Linked DNA regions of Cricetulus griseus. The protein of the gene in region 1 interacts with the protein of each later gene in a pairwise test. Links are inferred from orthologs where the notes say so. Each region holds a gene or a part of one and is shown on either strand. Other genes may lie near its edges. The genes, in order: Glrx3, Map3k3, Mapkbp1, phospholipid scramblase 2-like, Ca9, Grn and Trim36.

What was found.
Region 2: the proteins of Glrx3 (region 1) and Map3k3 interact in a two-hybrid assay, tested with the Homo sapiens proteins (2 studies listed by BioGRID and IntAct). The link is inferred for Cricetulus griseus from reciprocal best matches to the Homo sapiens genes GLRX3 and MAP3K3.
Region 3: the proteins of Glrx3 (region 1) and Mapkbp1 interact in binary tests that used the Homo sapiens proteins (3 or more experiments, as listed by UniProt). The two-hybrid records come from large-scale screens. The link is inferred for Cricetulus griseus from reciprocal best matches to the Homo sapiens genes GLRX3 and MAPKBP1.
Region 4: the proteins of Glrx3 (region 1) and phospholipid scramblase 2-like interact in binary tests that used the Homo sapiens proteins (3 or more experiments, as listed by UniProt). The two-hybrid records come from large-scale screens. The link is inferred for Cricetulus griseus from reciprocal best matches to the Homo sapiens genes GLRX3 and PLSCR1.
Region 5: the proteins of Glrx3 (region 1) and Ca9 interact in binary tests that used the Homo sapiens proteins (3 or more experiments, as listed by UniProt). The two-hybrid records come from large-scale screens. The link is inferred for Cricetulus griseus from reciprocal best matches to the Homo sapiens genes GLRX3 and CA9.
Region 6: the proteins of Glrx3 (region 1) and Grn interact in binary tests that used the Homo sapiens proteins (3 or more experiments, as listed by UniProt). The link is inferred for Cricetulus griseus from reciprocal best matches to the Homo sapiens genes GLRX3 and GRN.
Region 7: the proteins of Glrx3 (region 1) and Trim36 interact in binary tests that used the Homo sapiens proteins (3 or more experiments, as listed by UniProt). The two-hybrid records come from large-scale screens. The link is inferred for Cricetulus griseus from reciprocal best matches to the Homo sapiens genes GLRX3 and TRIM36.

Annotation. Positions count from the first base shown.
Region 1 is NC_048596.1:63,470,510-63,474,009, forward strand, and holds part of Glrx3 (glutaredoxin-3), read right to left. Parts: intron 3,109-3,500; coding exon 3,051-3,108; intron 1,430-3,050; coding exon 1,377-1,429; intron 867-1,376; coding exon 827-866; intron 727-826; coding exon 634-726; intron 1-633. UniProt on the Homo sapiens protein: Together with BOLA2, acts as a cytosolic iron-sulfur (Fe-S) cluster assembly factor that facilitates [2Fe-2S] cluster insertion into a subset of cytosolic proteins.
Region 2 is NC_048600.1:119,080,079-119,083,578, reverse strand, and holds part of Map3k3 (mitogen-activated protein kinase kinase kinase 3), read right to left. Parts: intron 2,551-3,500; coding exon 2,417-2,550; intron 1-2,416. UniProt on the Homo sapiens protein: Component of a protein kinase signal transduction cascade. Mediates activation of the NF-kappa-B, AP1 and DDIT3 transcriptional regulators.
Region 3 is NC_048599.1:58,467,727-58,470,500, forward strand, and holds the end of Mapkbp1 (mitogen-activated protein kinase-binding protein 1), read right to left. Parts: intron 2,699-2,774; coding exon 2,471-2,698; 3' UTR 501-2,470; downstream 1-500. Other genes in the region: bifunctional peptidase and (3S)-lysyl hydroxylase JMJD7, read right to left, coding at 301-364. UniProt on the Homo sapiens protein: Negative regulator of NOD2 function. It down-regulates NOD2-induced processes such as activation of NF-kappa-B signaling, IL8 secretion and antibacterial response. Involved in JNK signaling pathway.
Region 4 is NC_048597.1:201,287,349-201,290,848, reverse strand, and holds part of phospholipid scramblase 2-like, read right to left. Parts: intron 2,196-3,500; coding exon 1,963-2,195; intron 1-1,962. UniProt on the Homo sapiens protein: Catalyzes calcium-induced ATP-independent rapid bidirectional and non-specific movement of phospholipids (lipid scrambling or lipid flip-flop) between the inner and outer leaflet of the plasma membrane resulting in collapse of the phospholipid asymmetry which leads to phosphatidylserine externalization on the cell surface.
Region 5 is NC_048595.1:100,007,358-100,011,520, forward strand, and holds the start of Ca9 (carbonic anhydrase 9), read right to left. Parts: upstream 2,801-4,163; 5' UTR 2,767-2,800; coding exon 2,376-2,766; exon of another isoform or gene 1,849-2,375; intron 1,536-1,848; coding exon 1,506-1,535; intron 1,352-1,505; exon of another isoform or gene 1,296-1,351; coding exon 1,125-1,295; intron 1,012-1,124; coding exon 869-1,011; intron 786-868; coding exon 693-785; intron 1-692. UniProt on the Homo sapiens protein: Catalyzes the interconversion between carbon dioxide and water and the dissociated ions of carbonic acid (i.e. bicarbonate and hydrogen ions).
Region 6 is NC_048600.1:115,672,851-115,676,955, forward strand, and holds the start of Grn (progranulin), read right to left. Parts: upstream 2,801-4,105; 5' UTR 2,728-2,800; coding exon 2,696-2,727; intron 290-2,695; coding exon 145-289; intron 35-144; coding exon 1-34. UniProt on the Homo sapiens protein: Secreted protein that acts as a key regulator of lysosomal function and as a growth factor involved in inflammation, wound healing and cell proliferation. Regulates protein trafficking to lysosomes, and also the activity of lysosomal enzymes.
Region 7 is NC_048595.1:191,869,325-191,872,824, reverse strand, and holds part of Trim36 (E3 ubiquitin-protein ligase TRIM36), read right to left. Parts: intron 3,407-3,500; coding exon 3,109-3,406; intron 1,979-3,108; coding exon 1,624-1,978; 3' UTR 1-1,623. UniProt on the Homo sapiens protein: E3 ubiquitin-protein ligase which mediates ubiquitination and subsequent proteasomal degradation of target proteins. Involved in chromosome segregation and cell cycle regulation. May play a role in the acrosome reaction and fertilization.

The DNA.
Region 1 (3,500 bases):
AACATGCAGTATTTGCTTTAAACAGAATTTTAAACACTCCAACAACTAAAAGAGTCCTGTCACTTGGCAGAGGTGACCTGTAGCCACTATGGCATAGGGGCCAAGAGACTCTTGCCTCAGTCTCCTAGTCCTCTTCCTCATTGTACCTGAGATAGGTTAAGGGAAAAGGAAAATGGCCAGAGAAACAATTACAATAACAAAAACTGAAGGAGCATAAGAATTTGGGGGCAGAGAAATGTTTCTGGCAGGAAGAATGTACACATTTACAAGGAAGATGAACCCTGAAGGATGGAGGAAATATGGATGCTACAAGAAAATCTAAAAGTTAGAGGAATCAGGTAAAGATGGTTGGTAGGCAAGAAAACAGAGAAGAAAGCTGTACTGCAGTTAGCACAGCAGGGTCCTGAGTTCATCTGAACATTTTGCTACACAGTTTAGCTCTCACTGGCAGCTGGCAGCATTGAATGGATTTGAGGACAACTCAGAGCAGGAGTAAGCAAGAGACACTAAGACATATTCACAGAGGATGCTGAATGTGAGGCTGGAGAAAACAGGAGCCAGACAACACTAAAGTTGGATGCTTAAACATGTCAAATTTCTCAGTTCTTTAGAAGAGCAACGAAAAGCCCTTACCTTAACAATATCCAATCCTCCTACAAGCTCCCCTCTCACATACAGCTGAGGGTAGGTTGGCCAGTTCGAGAACGTTTTTAATCCCTGCCGCACCTAAAAAAAAAAAAAAAAAAAATCAGGAACCCTGAGGTCTTTCCACCAGACCCTGTTACTAAAGCTAAACATGGGATGAAACAAAAATCCCAGAACTTACTTCTTCATCCTCCAGTATGTCAAAAGTTTCATAGTCAACCCTGAAAGGGAGAAATCTTTTTAACAAAAAAACATAAAACCCAACTAGTGTTTTTAATATGGTCAAGAAAAGCATTCCCTGCTAACAAAACTTACTAGAGAAAGCCTACTATAAAGCAATGGGAATGACTTTATCATTGGGCTTGTCATTCTAAGACAAAATTACTAGCCTTTGATGGACAAAACTAGCTACAGCAGGAGCTGCCAAAACTCTCTTATGTACTTAATGGGGACAATGAAAGGCCAAGGTATTTGTGTGGACACCAGGGGACAACCTGTAGGAGTCAGTTCTCTCCCTCTACTATTTGGGTCCCAGGGATCATGTTCAGGTCATCAGTCTTGGGGACAAGTGCCTTTTACCCTCTAAGCCATCTTGCTTGCCAATAAATACTATACTTGTCAATAAATACTATGCAAATAGGCTTTGACATTAAAGCTGTAAAGTATCAGTGGCAAAACTGACAAGCTACAATTTTTTTTATATATAACACTTGAAAACAAGATTTACATACCCGGTATTATTCAGTATTTCCAGAATTTGTTTGCTGAATCCACATTTTGCTTCCTAAATTACATTTAAAAAAAGAAGTACATTGTTCATTTTTTTTTTCACAGACCCAGTAAGTGTGGCTGCAGCAAATGCTCAAGTTGGCACCCCAGCCACTGTGTTTACCCAGCTCCCATGCTTCCGTTCCCTTCCCTATGAAGTACTCATCCAGGCTGCCATCATCCCAAACAACCTACAGACCTCCTAAAATGAGGGGACATGTAGCAGCTTAAAACCTTTATGGTCACAAGTTTCCCTAAGTGAAACCCAGATCATCTACTCACCTGACTCTCCTTGCTTTATGCAAAGGGATAGGACATAGAGAAGTCAGTGGCAATAACTAAAGTAACTGTTTCCACATTGCCACAGACCTTTATCACATCTTTTAAACTTATCTTTGCATTGTGGCATCAGCTCATTTGAAGTGATTGAAATCCTATGCTTTATTTCAGGTCAGAGATTCCCCAAGCCCCAGCTATCTTGGGAAAGAAGTCTGATAATACATAACGTCTCAAAACCTCTCAGGACACCATTTCCAAGAAATGCAAATTCTACCAGGACAGCCACAAGAAATGTGAAGAATCAAAGTCTGCTTTCAAAATAATGGAGCAAAAGAGTGCTGCCTCATCATTACTACAGTCACAGAGTCTATGTCCTAACACAGCGGTACCAAGTTGCTAAAATTATATTGTCTTCCTTAGTACTTCTACCACACTAGTTACATTAACTAGTTAATTGTTTTAACTAATGGGTCTCATTCTGTTGATACCACAGCAACCCTTACAGCAACCTGAAGTTAAAACAGTCTAATGGCATCATTAGGTCAGTTCACAAAAAGACAAAGGAAGACAAAGACCTCGTGGCATCACCTGCCCAAAGCGGCTTGTCCAGAACCTGGGCAGCTTCCTTACTCTACCACCTCACTCTTCTGAACTTTAGTCTCCTTATCCTGAGAAAAGCAAACTGCATAGCTTTGCTTTCGTGAAGCTGAACAGCCAAAACTCAACTGTTAAAACTGTAAAATGCAAGAGAAATGACAGGGCTAGCTTTTCAAAATTACCAGCCTAATCCCAATCCAGAAAAGAATCAGCTTTTCGCCCAATAATGAGTGCAAGGGGACCTATCAAACTAATGAAAATTCAGTATGTACTTTCATCAAAGTACAAGAACCAGTCATCGTACTACAAATGAGAATCATGGTAGTTTTACTCACTCATCAACCAGGTACCACAGAGCAATAGGGCTACTGTCAGGGTTTATTTCCCACTCCAAGGACCTAAGACCAAGAATCTCAGAACCACCAGCGAAGTACATTTGCCCACGGTCCACTCTCTCAAACAAAGGATACTGGGACAGCAATTGAGAGAATCCGCTAAGTGCTCGCTCATAGTGTTGACCACTTCAGCTGACAAAGTTTGGCAGCAGAAAGCAATGCACCCTGCTGAGACACTGATGATAAAGTCAGTCGAAATGGAGATTACTTTGTTTGATCTCCATAAGCACCAATTAAGGCCAGGATAACTTCCTGGTACCACTACAGCTTCATTAGCTAAACTAGAAAAAAAGACTTAACTGTCCCCTTGCTGCAGATGTTAACATCAAAAGAAATTACAAATAAAACCATTTTTGAGTTCCTTACCTGTTTGTTTCCTTTCATAAAGAGCATCACAGAAGCTTTATTGGTCAGCACTTTGAGCCTGAAGAGAGAAAATTGATATAAAATGGCTCAGCTCAATTATTAAACACCACTTCTGCTCTGCTTCATGAGTAGCAGGCATATTTGAGGGATAGCAGGATGACAGCTCACAGCTTTGAGTGGTATTAAACAAGCAAAAGCACTGACACTTTCCTTTATTTCATTCTCTCCCTGAGCCACTGTAAAACATAATATGCCTTTTTAAGGCAAAGAATGTTCCTTCCAGTTGCAATTTAAGCCCATCAACTTGTAGTACTAAAAATATAATAATAACCAATTCAGTAAGGTATTATTCAATTGGGGGGGGGGAGCTATACATTGAGCCATCTAGAAGTTCCCAAGATGTATCAGTGAGCATTTTCCCATCATGATGTGCACTATGCTCCTCACCCC
Region 2 (3,500 bases), on another chromosome or scaffold:
CATGGTCAATACAGATGGTCAGTATTTTCTTACCAGGAAAGAAATCTGCAGCTGAAGGCAGTGCATGTTACTGCTCTAAATATGAAATCCCCTGGGAGTGGGAGCATAGGAGGAGGAAGAGTGTAAATGGCTTCCTACAGCTCATAGTTTGAATAGTGAACGTTAAAGAACATTCTGTAAAACCCCACATATTCTGATGTTAAATTATGTGTGTGTGTGCATGTGCACATACGAGTTCAGGAGACCACTGAGTCCAGAAGAGACACCAGATCCCCTGGAGCTAGGATTTTAGGCAGAGAGCCACCCAGTATAGGTGATGGGAACCAAACTTGGCTCTTCTACAAAAGCAGTTAGCACTTTTAACTACTATGCCTTCTTTCCAGACCACCTCCTTTTTAAAGATTTTTTTTTTTGTTTTTGTTTATGTGTTCATGTATATGTATGTGTGGGGATAGATGCCAATACCCATGGAAGTCAGTCAGAAGATAGTGTGAGATCTGCTACAGCTGGAATTACAGGCAGTTGTGAGCTGCTGACACAGGTGCTAGTAATTAAACTCAATTCCCTGAGCCATCTTTCTAGCCCCCTCTGTTGGCTATTTTATAAGTTAGAAATATTCCCTTCTTAAGTCAAATTCCAGAAATTTTGAAGAACTTAATTCTTTGCAATAAAGACAAGCTCACTGAAAAAAAAAAAGCAGAATAAAACAGAGAGGACTTACTCAGTTGACTAACCCAAAATGTAATTTTTTCCTGTATTTTTACAGACATTTTACAAAATTATTTATTATGTCTACAGTGTTCTGTCTGCATGTATGTCTGCAGGCCAGAAGAGGGCACCAGATCTCATTACAGATGGTTGTGAGCCACCATGTGGTTGCTGGGTACTGAACTCAGGACCTCTAGAAAAGAGCAGCCAGTTCTCTTAACCTCTGAGCCATCTCTCCAGCCCCCCCCCCCCAACCCAGTGTAAATTTTATTAAGTAAGTTACTGGTTAAAAAGCTGGCTATCAAAATGGGTGCGCCACTGTGGTGGACAACCAACCCTTCAACCCTTCCCTTGAATGCAAGTAGAACTGGGACTTGGTTCTAGCCAACAGGCTATAGCAGAAAGGATAGGAATGCCCATCCCCATGATTACATTATATTATAGAAGACTCCAACTTTGCCTGGGTGGTGGTGGCGCATGCTTTAAACCCAGAGGCAGGAGGATCTCTGAGTTCAAGGCCAGCCTGATCTACAAAGCTAGTTTCAGGCCAGTCAGGGCTACACAGAGAAACCCTATCCCGGAAAAAAAAAAAAAAAAAAAAAGAAGAAGAAGAAGAAGAAGAAGAAGAAGAAGAAGAAGAAGAAGAAGAAGAAGAAGAAGAAGACAATGACAACAACTCCAATTTTGTAGACTGGAACAACTGAGTCTTGGACTGGCCTTGAAGAAGGCCATGCTATGAGAAATTGATAATAAGGAACTGCAGGCAGCTTCTAGAATCTGATAGAATCCTTGAACAACCTCTAGCAAAAAAAAAAAAAAAAAAAAAAAAAAGGGTCATAGTCCTACCAAACATAAGGAACTAAATTGTGCTAAGAACTCTAAGCTCAGGAAGAAAATGCAGTTGGAGAGTACCTTGACTGTAGCCCTGTGAGACCATGAGGGAAAAAAAAAAACAAACCAGTTAAGGCATGTCTGAATTCCCCATCTAAAGACACTAAAACAATAAAGGTGTACTGTTTTAAGACCAAATTGGTGACAATTTATTATGTAACAATAGACAACTAGTGGGGTGGTGGTGGCACACGCCTTTAATCACTGTACTTGGGAAACAGAGGCAAGTGGATCTCTGTGAGTTCGAGACCAGCCTGGTCTACAACAGCTAGTTCTAGGACAGGCTTCAAAGCTACACAGGGAAACCCTGTCTCAAAAAACAAAACAAAACATAACAAATAAACAAACAAAAAAGACAATTAACACAGCTATTAGCAAAATCATGTTATTTTACCAGTCCCACAGTATAATTTACAACCCCCCCAGCCGTTTCATCAAGAAATAGCAAAATTAAAATGTAGCCAATGAAAACCACAATCTGTCAGTTCATAGTTAAAATTGCTGAATGAGAATAGGCCATTGTAATAAGTCTGCAAATAGTACATACAGTACAGCGGTGTTTTACAAGGGGCCTAGTGAGAGGACCTAAAAAGGGATATTGTTAAGTGCTCAACTAACACTAGTGAAGTTAAGAAATTTAGATAGCATCTTTGAAAAGAACTGACCTTTGGCCTTTCAAAGGAATAACCCATCTTGGGGTAGGATTGGTTTTCAAAGAACTATGGCATGTGCATCAAATTCCCTGGGTCTGTAATGTGTCACTGAGAGCAATCTTGGTCTGAACATATCATGGTACACCCCGGCCCCCCATACTCACACACTGCTCGCTGGTCTCTGGGATGAACTCGCCTTCACTGTTGATGCTTGTATAGGATCCCTGCCGGGCAATGTGCTGTTGTCGTTCGGGTACGTAACCAGGTGGAGGAGAGCTTCTGCCAGGGTTCTGGGAGCCTAGAGCACAAAAAGAAGATTTAACCACAGAGACAACATGAGGCACAAGAGGAACAGGGCCAGATAGAAGACTGGGCCCAAGGGATCAGGGATGTAATTCAGATGGTCATGGCACCAGAGCCCAGCATCTTCAGCTCCAGGAAGCAAACGACCTCCCTTCCTTACAAAGTTACTTTCAGAGATGGAATAGTACAGAACCTCAACACAAATCATGGATCAGAACTAACTCTGTGACACAAACTGGAAGTCAGCCAGCTTTTTAAAAAATGCTCTTATAGCCAGGCAGTGGTGGCTCACGCCTTTTAGTCCCAGCACTCGAGAAGCAGAGGCAGATGGCTCTCAGTGAGTTTGAGGCCAGCCTGGTCTACAGAGGGAGTTCCAGAAAAGGCTCCAAAGCTACACAGAGAAAAATCTGTCTCAAAAAAACCAAACAAACAAACAAACAAAATGCTCTTAGGACTTTGAGATAGCTCAGCGGGTAAGGGTGCTTGTCATTAAGCCTGACAACTTGAGTTCATCCCCCAAGATCCATGTGATAGAAGGAGAGAACTGACTCCTGCACATTGTCCTTAATCTTCAAACATGCCACGGCATGCTCATGTACATGTGTGTGCATACACATGATAAAAATGTTAATGTTCTCATCTATTATTCATAATGTCACTTCTCTTGATAATATCATATCTTCCTCTTTCTCTCTTTTGGGCAAGATCACAAGTGAATGCCTAAAATCCTGAATAATAGCAAACCCAAAGCATGTATATCTATGACAAAAATTTAATGTTTAAATTATGTTTAATAAGAGATTAACAATAACTAGCTTAGCAAGACAGTGCACTCCTATAATCTCAGGACTCAGGAGATAGGAACAGAGAGACTGATCTCCAAACTAGCATAAGCTATATATATAAAACAAGACCCTTCAAAACAAAAGACACCCCCCCCAAAAA
Region 3 (2,774 bases), on another chromosome or scaffold:
GGACAGTCGAATGACTGCTTCTCTCCTCAGAACCCACCGGCATCCGAGATATTTGAAGCTGAGTCTTCTGTACCGAAAATGCAGCAATGCAGAGCGCAGGGAGTCGGCACCCCCCGGGCCTTGAACACAACCACAACTGCACCCCACGTGTGACCAAGAGCAGCGCACTCGTCCGCTAGCTAGAGAAGGGTGACTGACACACGAAAATGTGAGGCCGCCAATAGGCCACTCGTGAACACACGTCCTGAGCTCCGGTACCCCAGGCTCTCTCCACGCCGTCTTGGCGCTGACGCCACTCACCGCGAGCCGCCGCCGGGAACTCTTGCAACACCTTCCGCACCGTACCCAGCGCCGCCTCCGCCATGACGCTCGCGGGAATAGAACCCGCCCCTATTTCCGCTCTAGGCTTCCAGCCCCGCCCCATTTCCGCCCTCGCCGCGCCGCGCCCCGCCCCTCAGGAGGTGCGACCAGCGGCGCCTTCTTCAGAGATTGCTAGCCAGTTAACAAATCATTGTGTTTATTGACAATTTCATACATCGGTACAAACGAGACGTTAAAACAGCCCCACCCCGTACAGCCGGGGAGGAGACAGGCGCCACAGTATAAAAGTTATAAATAAGGGGCTTTTTAAAACCGGGATGGGACAAATCTGGACGTGGGCAGCAGTGGCCAGTGGCCTCCGACATGCAAAGGGAACCAAGCACCACTGGCCTCAAGACCCCATCCGTGCAGGCTAGAGCGCAGGGAAAGACCGGCTCCCTCAAGAAGAGCAGGCTGGCTAAGGTCAGGGCAGCCCTAGCAGTAAGCAGATATCTAATCCTGACTGCCAAAGGGTCCGCCCCAGCCGCTGCTATTCTTTGGACTAGGAGTTTGGTCAGGCCGGTAGTAAAAAATGGGAATACATGGTTTGGATGTACTTGGGGCACTCAGGCCGAACCACCAAGGCTAAGCACCCATTAAAGCTGTTTCTTTCTAGCCTCTGCCTCCAGAACTTGGAAGGTGCTTCAGCAGGTTTTGTTGTCTAAATCCTGTGAAATGTCATTCTGCGTTACCTAATGCAGAGGGGGGAGGGCCCGGAGACACACACTCACTCCAATTCTGCAACCACCTCACTACTTGTTCCTACCTACAGCCTGCCTATAGCTTCTCTTTACCCTCTAACAATTACCTTAATTCTGTCCCCCTACCTCTGCCATCTACCTGTCCACCTATCACTTTTCCAGCGTGTCTCTTGCCCACAGCCTCCACTCCACAATCTCCAGTACCCAGTGTCTCTGAGCACCCAGTTCTGCCTTTGAAAAAGAGCCTCCTCTGTGAGCCAGGTATCCTATAGCCATCTCCTGTCAACCTGGCTTCGGACACCAAGATTCCAGAATTTTAGTGTGCTCCTTCTCATGTTTCTGGATAAGAGTTCTAACTAAGCCAGGCTAGTGAAGCTGAGGCCAAATGTGATAGAACCAGGTACCTACCAGCCAGGCAAGTATTCTAACAATGAACACTCCAACTGTGTATACGTGTGTGTCTGTGTGTGGCCAAAGTCCTAGGAAGGTGGGCTAGTGCCCTGTAAACCATGAGGGAACTCCCAATACAGTTTTCTGATTGCGCATTGCCCAGGATATAGGGAGAAAGCGGTCCCTGGGGCTTCAGTAGTCCTCTAGGGACCAGGGTTAGAGAATGAGGAAGCCCAAAGGGCTGAGAAAAGTAGGCAGGCTTTGTGTTTGCTCAGCAGAGGGCTTCACTGTCCTGCAGCAAAATCCCACAACTGGCTCCACAAGGAAAAAAAAAAAGGGATTCGGTAGAAAATACTGGGGCTCTCTTGCAGGGAGAATTGGAGTGGAATGTGCGGCTCAGGCCCTGACACCAACTCAAGTCTTCTAAGGGCTGGGATCCCCTGGAGGGCCAGGCAGCTCTACCTTTCTCAACTGCCAGGAATAGGGTAAAACCACTCCTGCTTTGGCAGCCAGGAGAGTGCAGCTGGTGTGAGGGCAGAGGTAAGGGTCTACAGCTGGCTTGAGGGCACTAAGTGCCTCATCTCCTCTCACCGCTCCCCCAGAGTGCCCTGTGTACGCTCCACCCCAGGGAGTACCCTGTGTATGCTCCACCCCAGGGAGCTGATCCCTGAAGTAAATTCAAATGGCTTCTAAGAAGAGAAGGCCAGCCCTTCCCAGTGCCCCCAGATGAGGCAGGCTGCCCTCCTACCCCTCACAGCACCAAGAAGACATAGACTCAAGACCTGCCCTGCTATGAGCCACTGGAGGGGCTTTTGAGGCAGGAGTCCCAAGGAAGTGAGGCAACAGTCATGGAAATAAATTAATAAATACAGGGGCCCCTGAGCAGCAGCTGGGAAAGCTGCTTTGCCTCTGAGCACTGACCCCTGCTGTCCACTCCAGACATTCTCACAGGTTCTGATGAGTGGAAGAAGGGTTACAGGTTCAGTGGGGAGCATTCATTTTGGACAGGCTTCTGGAAATCAAAGTCTGCGCTCCATACGCCGCTCCACAGCTCGAAGTAATAGCTCTGAGTACTGCTCCAACAGGGCTTGAGTTTGCTCAGCCCCCACAGCCCCGGGGCTGCCGCCCGGGCTAGACAGCACAGCTCCAGTCAGGGCCTCTAGTTCCTGCCGCACTGAAGAGAAGGTGTCCCTCAGGAGACGGGTGATGTGGCTGTGCTCTGCTGAAGGTGTCTTACAGCTGGTCACCTGCAACAAGAACACTGCAAGTGAGGTGAGGTTCAGTAGAGAATGATACAGAAAAGGGGGCCCCACCTGGGCCTAG
Region 4 (3,500 bases), on another chromosome or scaffold:
CAACATTTCACACTCCCCATTGTATTTTGTATAGCATCACATTTTTATATATTAATGGCAAATATTTATTTAAAGATGGACTTATTTTTACCTGTATGAATGTGCAGCCTAAATGCATGTAAGTGTACCCCTTGCATCCAGTACTTTCGGAGGGCATATGTGGGAGACAGACTCAGTGAAACTGGAGCTGAAGATGGTTGTAAGTGGCCATGTGGGTGCTGGGAATCAAACCTGGGTCCTCTGCCAGACCAGGAATACCTCTTAATTCTTGGGCCATTTCCCAAGCACTAGTTTGTTTATTTAAACTTTTGTTCATCTCAAAAGTAAGAATTTTTAAGTCAAATAAAGTTGATTTGTAATGGAATTCCCATAAAATTACAAAAAAGTGTTCTTTCCAGAAAATGAGATTGATTGATAATTTATTTATCCATTCAAATAATTTTCTTATAGGAAGCTATCCCTTGTAAGTGATAATTTTCCTTCATATTTTATTTTCCATGATTAAATTATGTATATTCCAGAGTATTTTTAAGATTACAATTAGCACTGAAATTTCTCTTATATTTAAATAATCCACTAAGTCCAATTAGTGCTGCCCATTTGTACACAGGTGTGCAGGTATAGAGTAGAGCATGGGAAAACTGCCAGTGCTCACACCCACAAAGAAGAATGAGCTTCCTTCCCCAGAAGCTAACAAGTGTCCAGAGCTCCTCAGTTAGGAAGCCCCCCTTAGCTGCTGTGCATTCCTGAGTTCAGCAGTCACACCTCATCCAATAGATTGCATTCCATGGCACCTTTCCTTATTCTTCTACTTCTACATTCTTTCTGCCTCCTTCTCTATAATTTCCCCAAGTCTTGGTGTGTGTGTGTGTGTGTGTGTGTGTGTGTGTGTGTGTGTGTGTGAGAATTCATAACAATGTCCTCTTACGGCTGAGCATTCAAAATGACTGAAAATTTCTAAGTCTGTTGCTTGAACACACACAGGACATGTTAGTGCTATGTGTGCCAGACAGACTAGAGATGGCTTAGATATCACAGGGCCCTCTGGATGTGTTCATGAATTTGGTGTACCTCACAGCCCTCTTTTTACCTCACCAGCTTTTCATATTGAGCTATTATTAAACTGCATTTTTGCTAAAATTCATTATCATTGAACTATAGTTCGGCAAAAGCCAGACTTTCTTCCCTCACTGGAGGCAATTATAATATTGGGTTTTCTAAAGAATAAAAGTGGAGTTACAGTTTATAAAACTACATATATGAAAAAAATTACTCTTTCCCAGCAGTGGTGGAGCACACCTTTAATCCTAGTACTTGGGAGGCAGTGTCAGGTGGATCTTGTGTGCAAGGCCAGCCTGATCTACAAGGTGAGTTCCAGGACAGCCAGGGCTACACAAAGAAACCCCCGTATCAAAAAAACAAAGAGAAAAATTTTAAACTTGCTCTTTTTTAGGTATCCTTTAAAGACAATAACTAATTTTTTTTAGACTCTCTTTTTTCAAATACCAAGGCTGTGGGTCAGCCTTGGGGTAAAAAGCTTTTATACTCATTACCAAAGTTCACAGTTAAAAAGTAAGTCACAATGACTGTTCCGTGGTTTTAGAGCCTCCACAAAGCAGTTAGCATTTTTTGACGCTGGTTTCCCTCTTTGAAAAACCAGTGATAATCTTGTGCACATGTCACAGATTTTCTAAGGATTGTACTTGAAACAATGACTAGAATAATGTATAGTAAATACTGCCTATTAGGGGTTATAGGCCAGACTCACAGGAAAACACAATTGTCTCACACCTTGGTAATTTGCACAACAACTGAACTTCATCTAGTGGAACCAGTTACTATGAGTAACCAGAAGACATGAGGACAATGCTATACTTCGGTGAATTATTCATTTGTTGTCCAAGTAAACTAGAAGTAGAAACACAGTTTTGTCTTTTGTGAGTTCTGAGTATGTGGATTTACCTGACTTAAGTATTCTAGCCCAGGTGGGCAGCTCTGAAGAGGTGGTGGTGCTGGCATCCATTGGGTATTAACAAGGATGATAGCCTGGTTATTTTGAACAGGAAGCTGTGTTGCATTATAACCTTCACAGCCAGCTGTTGAGACTGTGTAGCCAGCCTGAGGTCCTGGGTTACCAGAGTGGGGACCTTGGTAGTCAGTCTGGAATGTAGGGCATCCAGTATGTTCTGGAATTCCTGAAATAGGAGCAAGGAAATTGATTTGCAACTTCATAGAGAAAAGTATAATCATTTCATGTTGAATTATCTTGAGGCCTCTCCACTCTGGTCTATGATGTTTAAGACTTTTCAATGCAGTACCTGTGGTTTATACCTGCTTCTAATTATAGGTATACACAACCAAGTTTATTGTTATACCAGTTAGTCATAATCAGCCAAGATGTGGCATCAGCCTAGATACCTACCAACATATGATGAAGAAAACTACACACACACACACACACACACAGAGAGAGACAGAGACAGAGACAGAGACACAGAGAGACACGGAGAGAGGAATATAGATAGAGATAATATGGATCTTGATATGGATATGATAATGGATATAGATAATAGTTTATTCAGCCATAAAGAAGCATGAATTCATTTGTAGGAAGAAATATGAAAGTAGACATCACCATATAATGAGACATAAGCCAGATGCACAGGTGTTTCTCTCTTTCACAGGAGCATACTGATTTTCTCTGTGTTGTATAAGTGCCTCTCGCTAATCTATATCCAGATTGTGTCACTGGAGCACCTTCTATCTGATTATTGGGTTTCAGACAATCTTTTTTATCTGAACTCTGAAATGCACTTCAATATGTGATCTATTTTTATAGCCACCCATGTGCACACACACACACACACACACACACACACACACACACACACACACACACACACACAGTTCAGAACAACAAAGCAAAGTTTACAACAATATTAACAATTAAATTAGCAGACAAAGTAACACATTATATTGTGACACTGACATACTTGAATATCATGTTCTTTGTTCACAATTCATCTTCCATTAGCCTCTTGTGTACCTGTCTATATTGTCCCACTGGGTTCTGACTAATCCCTCAAATAACTGAGTATGCTTTTGATGTTATATGGTCATGGTTTTATAACTATATTCCACACACAAAAATAATAATAAAAGTAGGTATATCTGTCTTTGGGAATCTGGCTTGTATCTCTCTCTCTCTCTCTCTCTCTCTCTCTCTCTCTCTGTGTGTGTGTGTGTGTGTGTGTGTGTGTTTTGTTGTTGTGTTGATTTTTGATACTTGTTTTTTTGAGATAGTTTTACTATACTGCCATGGTTGGAGGTCTTTAACTTGCTATGTAGGCCAAACTGGTGCCAAATTCACAGAGATCCACCTGTCTCTGCCTCCCAATTGCTGGAATTAAATGTGTGCACCACCACACCCAGACTGGTTTGTATCTCTTAATATGCTGTGTCTAGTTTCATCTATCTTCTACAAATGACTCTTTTCACTC
Region 5 (4,163 bases), on another chromosome or scaffold:
GTGATCTGGGCCCTGCTAACTTTCACAGTTTCCCCCATTATTTCCTGGTATACTCTCGGGTCTCCTGAAGAAATCCACAATGTTCTGTGCTTGTGTTACCTCTGTGTTCACTTTAATAATTCATGAGTTGGACTCTTGGAGTGTAACCTGCATCTACATGATGAGGCACTTGGTGCCATGAACTTCACTAGTGAGTCTTACAGGCATCTCATCTCCTCACTTCCTGGCTTCCTCCTACCATGGTGTGTGCACTCTTGATCATTAGGGGTACAAAGAGGTCACTGAATAAACACTGCATTTCATGGTGGGGAAATGATGGGTCACAGAAGTAGCCGAGAAATGACTCTTCCTCAGGCCCATTGTTGCATGTGGCATTCCCTGAATGGTCCATATTCTTTCTCTCCCTGTGCAACATTCCTCCTTGTTTCCCACCAGTGAAGGATTTAAGTTTCACCTCCTCTGTGACCATTATTTTTAGTGTTCTTCATTTCTGACTGTCAGTCTCTGTTTGTGGGTTCCTTAAAGGAAGCCGTCTTGTAGTCTGCTTCCCGTTTCCATGCTGCTGCTGAATGAATGAGCAAAAGCATGAATGGAACTGACAGCTAATTGACCAGCTTGAGAGTGCTGGAACAACGGGGTCTCTGCTAGCAAGATGCACTGAACCCATGGGATATGAGTGTCAAGTGTGGTACCTGCAGAAAGGCAGCCAAAACGGCCAAGCCTCCTGGGCGACCCAAGGCTTCATGAAGTTCTGAGAAAGCAGTACTGAGGTGAACCACATGGATCTAAGAGAGGGTGTAAGGGTCAGGTTCAGGCCAGAGCTTTGATCACACCCTCTTTGTTCCTCTTGGGACAGCCTAATGCCCACCTCAGCAGGGAACCGGTGGCCATTGACAGTGTGCTCTGAGCCCGGGTGATCTGAAGTTCCCCAGTGTAAATGCAACTGCAGGGCCCGGTACTCCTGCCCAGGTCCCAGAGCCATCTTCAGCCCCGGTGGCAGAGTCAACTGTACTGTGTGGGGAGTGGCAAGGGAGTGATGTCTAGCCACCCAGGAGCACCAGCACAACCCCCAAGCACAGTTTAATTGCCGCTCCCCTCCGTAGGCTCCGCCCCAGACACCTCACCCGTATGGCCATTGTTGCTCAGGCTCAGTTCCGGGAGAGGCTGAAGCTCATAGCCCAGTAGTTCCAGGGGTTGCAGGGCGCGGCAGAATGAGGTGAGCTCCGGGCGGATATCTACAGGGGACTGAAATCGGCCGGCACAAGCTGGGGACACCTCGGGCCAGAGTAGGGTTCCTGGCATGTGAGAAAAAGGTGCAAGAAGTCTGATGAGTAGGACAAGAACCGTTAGGGTAAGTGAAGGGGAGGAGTCAGGAAGCGTGGAGGCAGGAGTAAGGGGAGGGGCAGAGACGTGGGTCCAGATGAGAGCTAGTATTGGAGGAGGTGGTGGGGCAGTTCAAAAGCCTGGACTCCCAGAGTAGGTCTGTGTGGGAGGCGGTGTCTTACCTCTATAGCTCCAAGGACTGTGGTCACCCCCTGCATAAATGAGAAGAATTAATAAGCCCGCTCTTACAGCCCAGTCACTTCCCAGTGCCTACAAAGAAAAAGATTCCCTCCAGCCCTGACGGGGCCTCACAGACCGGGTTGTCTTACAAGAGCGTCCAGGCTAGGTGCAAAGCACGGTGGCCTACTACCAACTGTGACTCGGCCACTGGGGGAGTGGTCAGCAAACCTGCTGGGGGAAGACAGTTTGCAAATGCTAGGGTCTGTGGAGTGGCTTCAGTGTGAGATCCAAATCAGTAGATCAACCTTCTTTTTCCTTTACTCACCCACTGGTCTCTCTTCCCAGTCTCTAGCTTTTCCAAGTTCCTAACCCAGAGCCAAGTGTGCTGGTACACACCTGAAATCCCAGAGCTCAGAGACAGGTAGACAGCAGGAAATAGTTCAAGGCCAACTGATCCGATAAGTAATAATACCCCACCTCACCCCTTACTCCCCTCCTGCCCCCAATATCCCACCTCACCCCTTACTCCCCTCCTGCCCCAAAAGCGAGCCAAAGTTCCTCCGCCTGCCGATTGCTTCTGCACTGCAAATTGTGACATCAGTCTGCTCTCTATACGTCCTCTGAGACCCCCTTCTCTTATCACACTCTTTCTCTCTCTACACTTTTCTGCCTCTCTATCCATTCCTCGATTCTATGTCTTCTTCAACTTCTCCCTTTCTTCTTTTATCTCTCCCAACTACTCTCCCCTGTAGGGAGAAGGGCTACCTGTTAGAGTACAGTTTCCCTCCTGCATCTCTGCTAGGGTTGGGGTGTGGTGAGGGAGGTGGAAAACTACCTGAACCTCACTTTGGAAGCTGATGACGCTTACTTACCTTTTCCGTCCCCGTGGGGACTTTGACTGTCCTCGGGAGCCTCAACAGTGGGTAGATCCTCTAACTTCGGGGGATCCTCCTTTTTGGCTTTGGCGTTAACTTCAGGTGGATCCTCCCTACCAGACTGACCCGCCTCCCCAGGTGCATCTTCTTTACTGGGCAGATCCTCCACGCCCAGATCATCCTCTCCAGATGAACTCTCTCCCAAGGAGGGCTCCCCCTGCATTCCGGACAGGCCCTGGGGATGAGCAGATACCAGGAGCAGCAGAAAGAACAGCGGCGCAGTAGGGGCTGGGATCAACAAAGAGGGCCGGGGGCCGGGGCCCAGGGAAGCCATGCGACTGACTGGGGTGTCCCAGGACACGGTGTGGTGTACGGGCTGTACGTGCATCGGAAATAGGAGCTGGGTGGGGGGAGGAGCAAGCCTTGAGGGGAGCAGGCTGACTCACAGAATGCCCTTTTGTAGAGATGGAGCCAAAGTCCCACAGGTTTGCCTGGCCCCGTGCCCCCTGCCCGATACCAAAGCCTGGACACAGGTCGGGTAAGAGGCAGGGTTGGGGTAAGAGGCAGGTGTGGTCACAGGCAGAAGGTTATCGGGATCACCAGCTCAGCTTGGAGCCCAAGGCACCACCTGGCACTGTATAGGTTCTCCGTGGCACCACCCGGCTTCTGCCCGCCAGTCTCTGCTAGGCCTGGCCTGCTTCCCAGCCTCGGCAGAGAAGAGGAAAGAAGGCAGCTGGGGCCCCCATGCAGTTGGGCTGAGGAGACAAGAAACTCGTGTATAAATCCTGCCTCAGTGAGGTCTCCGTTAAAGGGGCAGGTAAAGACACTGGGGGAGCCTAGGGCTGGGTAGGGGTAGGAAGGGTCTCACGGTTAAGTAGGAGGCAATTTTGAGCATGAATGTTTGAATATATACATATATATGAGAAAGACTCTGATGGCTCCCCCATTGCCTGCCAAAGTATGACCATTTTCTTTTTCCCACTTCCAGGTCTGCAAAACCTCACCCAAGACACCATTAAGTCTTGTCTCTTGCTTTCCCCCTAATGTTCCAGTCAGATTACTCATTTGTGTGCACTTTTTTGCTCTCCTGCCCTTTGTCCTTGTTTTTTAGTGATGGAGACTAAATCCAGACAAGTACTCATCCATTGAGCTTCACTCCCAGCCCTAAAATACTCATTTCTTTTTCTCCAAACTTTTTACTGCCTTTTTAAATCTAAGTCTCGGTGCCAAGAATGCCACTCATATTTGCATTCTGTATCAGTACCTACAGCACGCTAGGCTGTGGACTAGGGATACGGAAATCCATATCTGAGGAGCTCTCACTCCAGTGAGGACAAATATTATCGTAATTCTGCTGCAAGAAAGTATGGAAGTAGGCAAAATCTGACCCCACCTTTGAAGAAGAGGTAGGAGCTCCATGGGGAGGTAGGTGGCTATCACAGTAAGGAGAATCGTACTCTGGGCAAAAGAGAGGCATGGAATATTTTGAACAGAGGCTGTCCAGATGGCTCAGTGGGTAAAGGCACTTGCCACCAAATCTGATGATCTGAGTTGGGTCCCCAGAATTGACATGGTGGAAAGAGAGAACCCTCTGTCTCCCATGTGTGCCATGGCACATGAACGTGTGCAAACACACACATAACAAATAAAGAGAGGTAAAAAGAAATATTTTGAAGAGGGTGACAGAATCCAGTTTTTATATTAGGCCCCCAGTCTGTCCATTTAATGCACATTTACTGAGTCTCCTCTAATCTTCCTGATATTGCTACTGTTCCCAAGCATGCA
Region 6 (4,105 bases), on another chromosome or scaffold:
TTAGACGATCGCTCATTACCATAGGCAATGTGTCCTGGAAAGAAGCAATGACATATACCAGAGGATCTGTGCCAGACCTCTTCTGGCCAATCCAAGGTAACCCTTCAAAAGGCCAGGATGCCAGCTGGGGCGTGAGACACTCACCAGAATAGGGTTGCAGCAGCTGTAGCTGGCTCCTCCGGGGTCCAGGCAGCAGACAATAGGGCACGACTGACCATCTGGACACTGTGTTCCAGCCACCAGGCCTGCCATGAAGGCCAGCCAGCTTACCAGGGTCCACATGGTCTGCCTGCAAATGCCAAGGAAAGTTTGGCAGCCATCTTAAGCTTATGCCACCTTCTATTCTGAGTCCATGCAGTTCCCCATGCCCTGGCCAAGGCATGACATGCCTTGGATTTATTGAAACTTCTCAACAAGTGAGCAGGAAGGCAAGCAGCTGCCTGAGTCAGCATCCTACACTGTAAGCATCACACTTGCACCAGCTTGCACACACGGTGAGCACGAATGCTGGCATGAACACAAGTGTCCATCATGTCATCACACTTGGCCTAACACCTGACACTATAGGCGACTGGAGAGGCGCGGAGTTATGACAGTCAGGAAGCCATGTGGCTTTGATTTATGGGACTGTGGGCTAACTGGGAGGAGACTTCAGCGGCCACAAGAGGACAGCCAGCCTCACCTCGCTGCCTGGCACTGAACTCCCACATGTACTTTTCAAAGGCCTTGGGGAAACAGAGTTGTCAATCACATGATCATATGGGAAACCAGGGGTTGAGAAAGTTGTGAAAACGGAAGTGCAGTGGCCAGGGGAGTCTGGGCTGCCTTTCCCACAGGCCAGCCACTGCCTGCCCACAACTGTCCCCTCCCCACCCAGGGGAAGGGCACATGGTGGCTGGATTAGCCTTGAAGCTAATTTCATAACCAGCCCTCCTCAGCATCACCAGGACTCCTTTGGACTCCTCAAACATACCACCTGTTTCTCCCTACTCAGAAATCGAAACTCAGCTGCAAGAGCAAAGTTAAGTGTACTTCTTCACTGGCCCTCTGCCTTAGCAGGAGGAACCGAGTCTCTCACTTCCCTAATAAGTCTTTCCCCAGCACAGCTGGCCTACCCAGCAACCCAGAGTGACACTCCCCTGCCTGGGGCAGCAAAAACAGCAATATTCAAAGACCCTCCAGGGAGCCACTTTGCCCTTCCTTACTGTATTTCTCTGCACAACTATGCAAAGCAGTGATCAGATTACTTTCACTTTTCAAATCCATGCCCAGGTATCAAGTCAGAGAAAACAGACTGCAGATATTGGACCTGGATTCTTATGTCAACTGACATCCCTGAACATTGCCAGGGAATGGACCCCAAATCCCAGAGGCCAGAGGTCCAAGCAGAGGGAAGCGGGCAGAACATTTCCCAGGCAGGTGACCTACACAGGATAGAAATAGGGTGGGTACAGCCAGACGGTGGTGGCACACGCCTTTAATCCTAGCATCCAGAAGCAGAGGCAGGTGGATCTCTGTGAGTTCAAGGCCAGTCTGGTCTACATAGCAAGTTCCAGGACAGCCAGGGACAAAAAGATCCTGCTCAAAAACAAAAGCAAAACAAAAAAATCTACAAAAGAAAGGGTGGGTACAGGGACGGTGTAAAATCTGCCACTGATCAATTGCTGAGGGCCTCAGAAATTGTTTCCTGTGCCTCAAACTCTGAATACTGGTGGCCATGGAAGGCAAAATCCCAACATCCAGACCTCAAAGCTTCCGATAGGCATGACAAACATGCTTTTGATCCCTGCACTTGGGAGGCTAAGGTGGGAGGATTACAAATTCCAGGCTACAGGGTGACTATGAGGTCAGCCTGGGCTACATAGAGGATCTGTCCCTCATTGTGCCCCCTCCCCTTCCTTCTCTAGGTTTTCAAGCACCCTCTCAAAGAATATCCCAGAGGTCATCTCCTGGCCAGATTAGAATGGGGTAGGGGAGACCTAATCCCTTTCATTAGGGTTAGGGAGTGGTGACCTCTGGCCACCTCTACACCACTCTGTTGAAATAGCCTGAGAGGACTGGAGGAGCCTTTCAAGGCCCTAGCTTCGAGATCTTCCACTAGGTGGCACCCCCGACTCCGGAGTGTCAAGGGGAGATGAATTTCCCAAAAGGTGAGCCAATCCAGCAGAGGAGCAGGGAAAAGTGGCGGGGAGAGGCGGAAGTTAGCTCTCTCGCCCCCCATAAAGGAAGTACGGCTGACACAACCCAGGGATTCTGCCACCACGCCCAACTCCTGCTCCCAACTCCTCTGAGCTCTGGGACCAAGGGCGGGAGATCCCCACCCACTGCAAGTCGCCGCGAAGACTACTGGCGGCACCAGAATGAGAAAGTGCCGGGACCTGGAGACAAGAGGTGGGAGGCACCGAGAGAGATGAAGCTGGCCCAAGAGTGGGGCGCTTCCTGCTCTGGAGAAAGCCCTGCAGCTTTCCGACATGCTGGGCAGGGGAGCCTCTTGTTGGGGGTGTCTACAGCAACTGTTCCCACTCCTCCCAAATGACAAACCCTCGTTAGTGCATCTGAAACCCCGAGGGGAGTTTCAAGAGGCAGGACTTCTCTCGTCTCTGAGCTGAGGCTCCGGGGCAGCCTCAGTTGCACAGCAAGCCTGGCCAGGCCTCTGGACAGCAGCCAGGGAGATGTCTGCTGCGGGTCCTCCTACCTGCTTCGGGGTCCGCACTCCCTGGGAGGCATCTGGCTGTCAGCTCTCGGACTAGGGCTTGGCTGCCCGATGGCCCGCCCACCTCAGTTTCCATTAGCCCTGGGTCGGGAATCCGGGGCTTCCATTGGCTACTTGTCTACATAGAGGCGGGACTCTCCAGGAATGCTGTGTTTCTTTTCTACTCAATCCACACTCCTCCTCCCTTTCCTCTCTCTCCCCACACCCCATGTCTAGGAATCATGTGACCAGGCAATCATATGACACCATAGCCCGCCTCCCCCAGGGCCTCGCTTGCTTGTTCGGTTGCTTTCCTCCCACCCCCCAGGGCCCTGGCGGCGCCTGGCGAGGTGTTCTAGAGATGGGGCTTGCGTACCTAAGGCCACCGACAGTTAAGAAGGCGCCTGCGGGGCGCGCGTTCAAGGTCGTTTACAGCATAGCGTCGGCTTCTGGATCGGGACATTTGTACATTCACTGTTTTCACGCTAGGCAGCCAGGACTCCAAACAAGCTGAAAGATAGTTGGGAGGGTAAAGATAAACAGTCCCCAGATTTGGGTGGGATACTAAATCTAATAAATGTTCAAGGGCGAGTACCAGGCAGGAGATTGGCTGAAGGTAGGGGAAGAATAGATGTAAATCCACTTTGAGCTAGCCAGGAGATGGTATCACGCTGAACTGAATCTAGAGGAATTTTAAGGGGCTGGTTAGGCGGGACAGAGGCACTCCGGAAGAGGTTAGGAAAGCAGATGGGGAGTACAGTGTCTAGCAAGAGTTAAAAGCCACATTCAAAGTAAGGGCATTGGGCATGAGCTAAGTATGTGGCATGGGCTGGTGAAGCAGGCTGGTGGCTGTGGAGGTGCAAGAGGCCTCCTAGTTTCAGCTACCCCTACCTTCGAGGAATTGTCATGGTCCATGAATAGAGATTTTTAGCAGTAGAACAGATTAGCCAGAAACAAAAGCCAGGCTGCTGAGTGCCAAAGGGCCTGGGCCAGACAGAAATGGCTGATTGGAGACCTGCCAGGAAGAGGACAGGCCCCAGGAAAGCCCAAGGCTGGGCCTTGTAGGAAAGGCAGAGTTGGTGTGGAAGATAGGTCCCCTGGGAGGAGCAAAGAGCTTGACTGGTAGGCCACTCAGGGGAATGGGGACAGCCCTACGAATAAATCCAGGACAGTAAGAGTCTTGCATAGAGAGGAGCCTGGTGGGCTTCTTGGGCTAGAGCTACAGGAATCCCAGAAAGTGGAGGCCAACGTGGAGTATCTAGGGTAATTCTGCAATTCTGTAATTGCTTAACACAGCCCCAGTATCCTTGCAGCTCTCTGAGTCAGGGTCTCCTGTGTTCCAGATCAGCCTCCAACTTGATATGTATCTGAGTATGACCCAGAACTTCTTGTTTCCCTGCCCCTGCTGCCTCC
Region 7 (3,500 bases), on another chromosome or scaffold:
TGCACATTCTCTTTGCTTCCTGTGTCATAAAGTGCTAGATATATGGGAAAGGAATGACAATCACTAAATGCAAGTTCTCCAGACCTATCCACATGGGGGTGGGGGAGTCAGTGGTGGGTCTGATGCAGTGTGATTAGCCTAGCAGACTTCCATTAAGAACGATAAAAAAAAAAAGTAAGATAAAGAGCTTCCAAAATTTTGGTTACTCCACTAAAATGTTAGCATTCCATAAGCGTAAGTCTTAGTGTCTGGACATTTTACCTTTTTAAAAAGGCTGTTCAAATAAAAATCATCGATTTAAAAGATGATTTTGGTGCCTAGAAGATAATTTTGCAGGAACTAACATCCAATTTAGAAAAGGTGTAATTCTTCAAACTAACTGTACACAATCCTTTTGATTTTAGTTACTATTTCTAAATAATTTTGTGTTTTACTGATTCGCTCTAAAAATGTTTATGATTACATTGAGCCACAGACAATTCGACCCAACTGGACAATAGTAACATGTAATATGTCTGGTCTTTTAATGCCATTAAGACAGACAATGAACTTCTCAAATTTGTAAACGTAAGCCAGAAAAACCTGATGTGTAACATCTGTGCCAAAACCACAAAACTCACAAGACAGTTGTTCACTATCAGTTCATCTTCACTAATATTTCTGAAAAATAATTCTTTGCTATAAATGCAAGTATTTTCTGAAGTAAGAAAATTTGAAGATAAAATTTTCTGGAAAAATTATATTGCAGTGAAAAGTTGCACAGGTTCAAGAACCTGTGTTTCCTATGACAGACCATGCTTGCTACATATGCCAATAAGGAGCCTTACAGCCCAGGCAACTCTTAGAGCTGTCCGTAACAATAAATAAAGTCTGTGGTCTACAAAAAAAAGCAGTATTCATTTGCCACGCAATATACACTCAGTAGTTACACACTTTAAAATACATAATTTTCTACTTAAATATACTACCATTTTATGGCCTTTGTCATTTTACCTATCTGTAACTTTATTTTCCTATTAACAACAAGTTCAAGATGCATGGTTTAGGACTAATTCCTATCAATAGTCATTTAAAATATCTTCTCTTTGGACATGAAAAAAATCAGCACAAAGAACCACAATAAATACTTTGTATTCCACCCTGTCCCCCAAAAATGAAAGGAATGTAAATAATAGCAACATCAGCTGACTTAAATAAATTAGAGTCCTTGTATCCAAAGAGAAGGACCAGCTGTAAAGTTGGCTACCTGGGACTAGTTGTGACAAAAATGCCTTCACTCTCACCATTTGTGAAAGGCAGAACAATGACATGAAATGGACAAGTCTGTGAAGGCCTTTTGAGTGTTAAAGACTCATACACTAGCTGCGTATGGTGGTGCCCACCTATAATCCCAGTACTCTGGAGCCTATAACAGAAGGACAGAGTTTGAGGCCACCCTGGGCTTCATAGCAAGACCCTGTGTGTCAAAGCCAAACAAGATAAAGAATCGAACACTACAAACAGGTGTGGTGACAGAAGACATAAATGATATGTAATTAGTTACGAAGACTAACACCAAGGCATGGCTGTGTTCACGGTTTTCATCCTTCACGGTTTTCATCCTCGCCACATGTGGTATACAAGCTACACATCCTCTTCATATTCCAGATACTTGGCTGTGATGGGTTCTTCAAGCTGAATTCCTCCACTGCCCATTAAGGCAAATGCTGGATACATTGTATGCGAACAGTCCACCTGGCGCTCATACAGGCATTTCATGTTATCAGTATCATAGAAGCTCACTTTGCCTTTATCACAGTCAAGGAAAATCCCTATACTAGTTGGCATGGGAAGAACTCTATTTTCGGGTTCATTAGAAGAAGTAGGTGACTTGGGTATAAAAAATTTCTTCATGCCTATAGTAACTAATGTAAAAGGTTGTGAAGAATCGAAACAGGCATCTTCGCTTCCACTGTCATGCCCACTGTCTTGCTCATATCTACAACACAATAAACACAGGACCTTACTTATCTCCAGCCACAGCCTCCCAGTATCATCAACACATTCTCCAAAAATAACATATTGTTCTAAAGTTAGCATACCCAAAATTGATCTATTAACACACATAAAAAAGCACGGACTTCAAAGTGCCATTTAGAGTTGTAATTATGTGCTTGGTACCAAATCCCCTATAGTGCCATCCATTGTTACATAAATTTATATATATAAATAGAACTTAAAATGCATTTCTACTGAAAAAAAGCAGGGGAGGGTAAAGGGCTTAATTTGAGATTTAATATTTATGGTACACAGTGGTATGTCATAAAATATAAAGACCTATGCCCTCACCCATGGGGTTAATAGATTAAAGGAAATAACTAGCCACTTAACATGAGATAAGAGCATGGCTCATTCTTCTCCTGAGAATCCTATTTCCTGACTGTGATTCCCACATCAAGAAAGAATAATGACATTGTTTTTCCTTCTGTGAAATGTGAAAAGTTAGGGAAAATTCTAGTGCCATGAAAGAGGCAGTTAAAGGCATTTCACTGTATGGGTAGATTTAACACGCCCTTTAGGAACTATGGAAAACTTTCCAACTTTAAGCTCTGAAGCTGAATCATAATGAAGAGGAATTCAAAACAGACAAACTCTCTCATAGCAGCAAAAATTAATTATTATTCTGTGAATAAATACAATACACCCAGAGTCCTTTTCTAAAGCAGCCACATGGCAGAGCCAATCACTGAATCTAAGGAATGTGTGTTCCAAATATAATGAATGAGTCCCAGTCTGTTTTCAGGGTGATCTTGTGTGACACTGATACTTTATTAATTTATTTTTTACATTCCAATCCCAGTTCCCCCTCCCTCCTTTCCTCCTGCTCCCCCCATCACCTCCTCACCCCCACCTCCCATCTGCTCCTTGGAGAGGGTAAGGCCTCCCCTAGGAAGTTTACTAAGTCTGTCCCATCATCTCATTGAGGTAGGACCAAACCTCCCCCAACCCCTGCCAGACTAAGCAAGGTATCTCTCCATATACAATGGGCGTCACTAGGTCAGTTTGTACATTAGCGTTAGATCTTGGACTCAATTTACTTTTAAAGTTGTTAACAAGCAAAGAACCTACCTTGGACTAGCCGTGTCCCGGGGAGACCGCAGCCACTCTTGCAGTTTGTCGCTGGAGGCAACCCCTACTTTGACCAGGTATGAATATGGCTCCACACGGCATGCCCAGAAGTGTTTCCCTTTCGATATTCCCACATCTCCGATGATGTAGTCTAAGCTTGTGTAGTAGCCCACTTGGATGCGTTCCGCAGCCAGGAGAACATTAAACCCAGCTCTGCTCTCCACCCGGTCTCTCTTCAGGTTCAGCAGGAGGTGCTCGTTATTATAGCCACACTTCTCATCAAACAGGAAACTGAAAACTGAGTGGAGGGTAAAGATACTCTTAAGTAACCTGAGTACCATCTACCAGGATTTCTATCATTTAAGGCTGAGTTGATGGTTTTCAAATAGAAA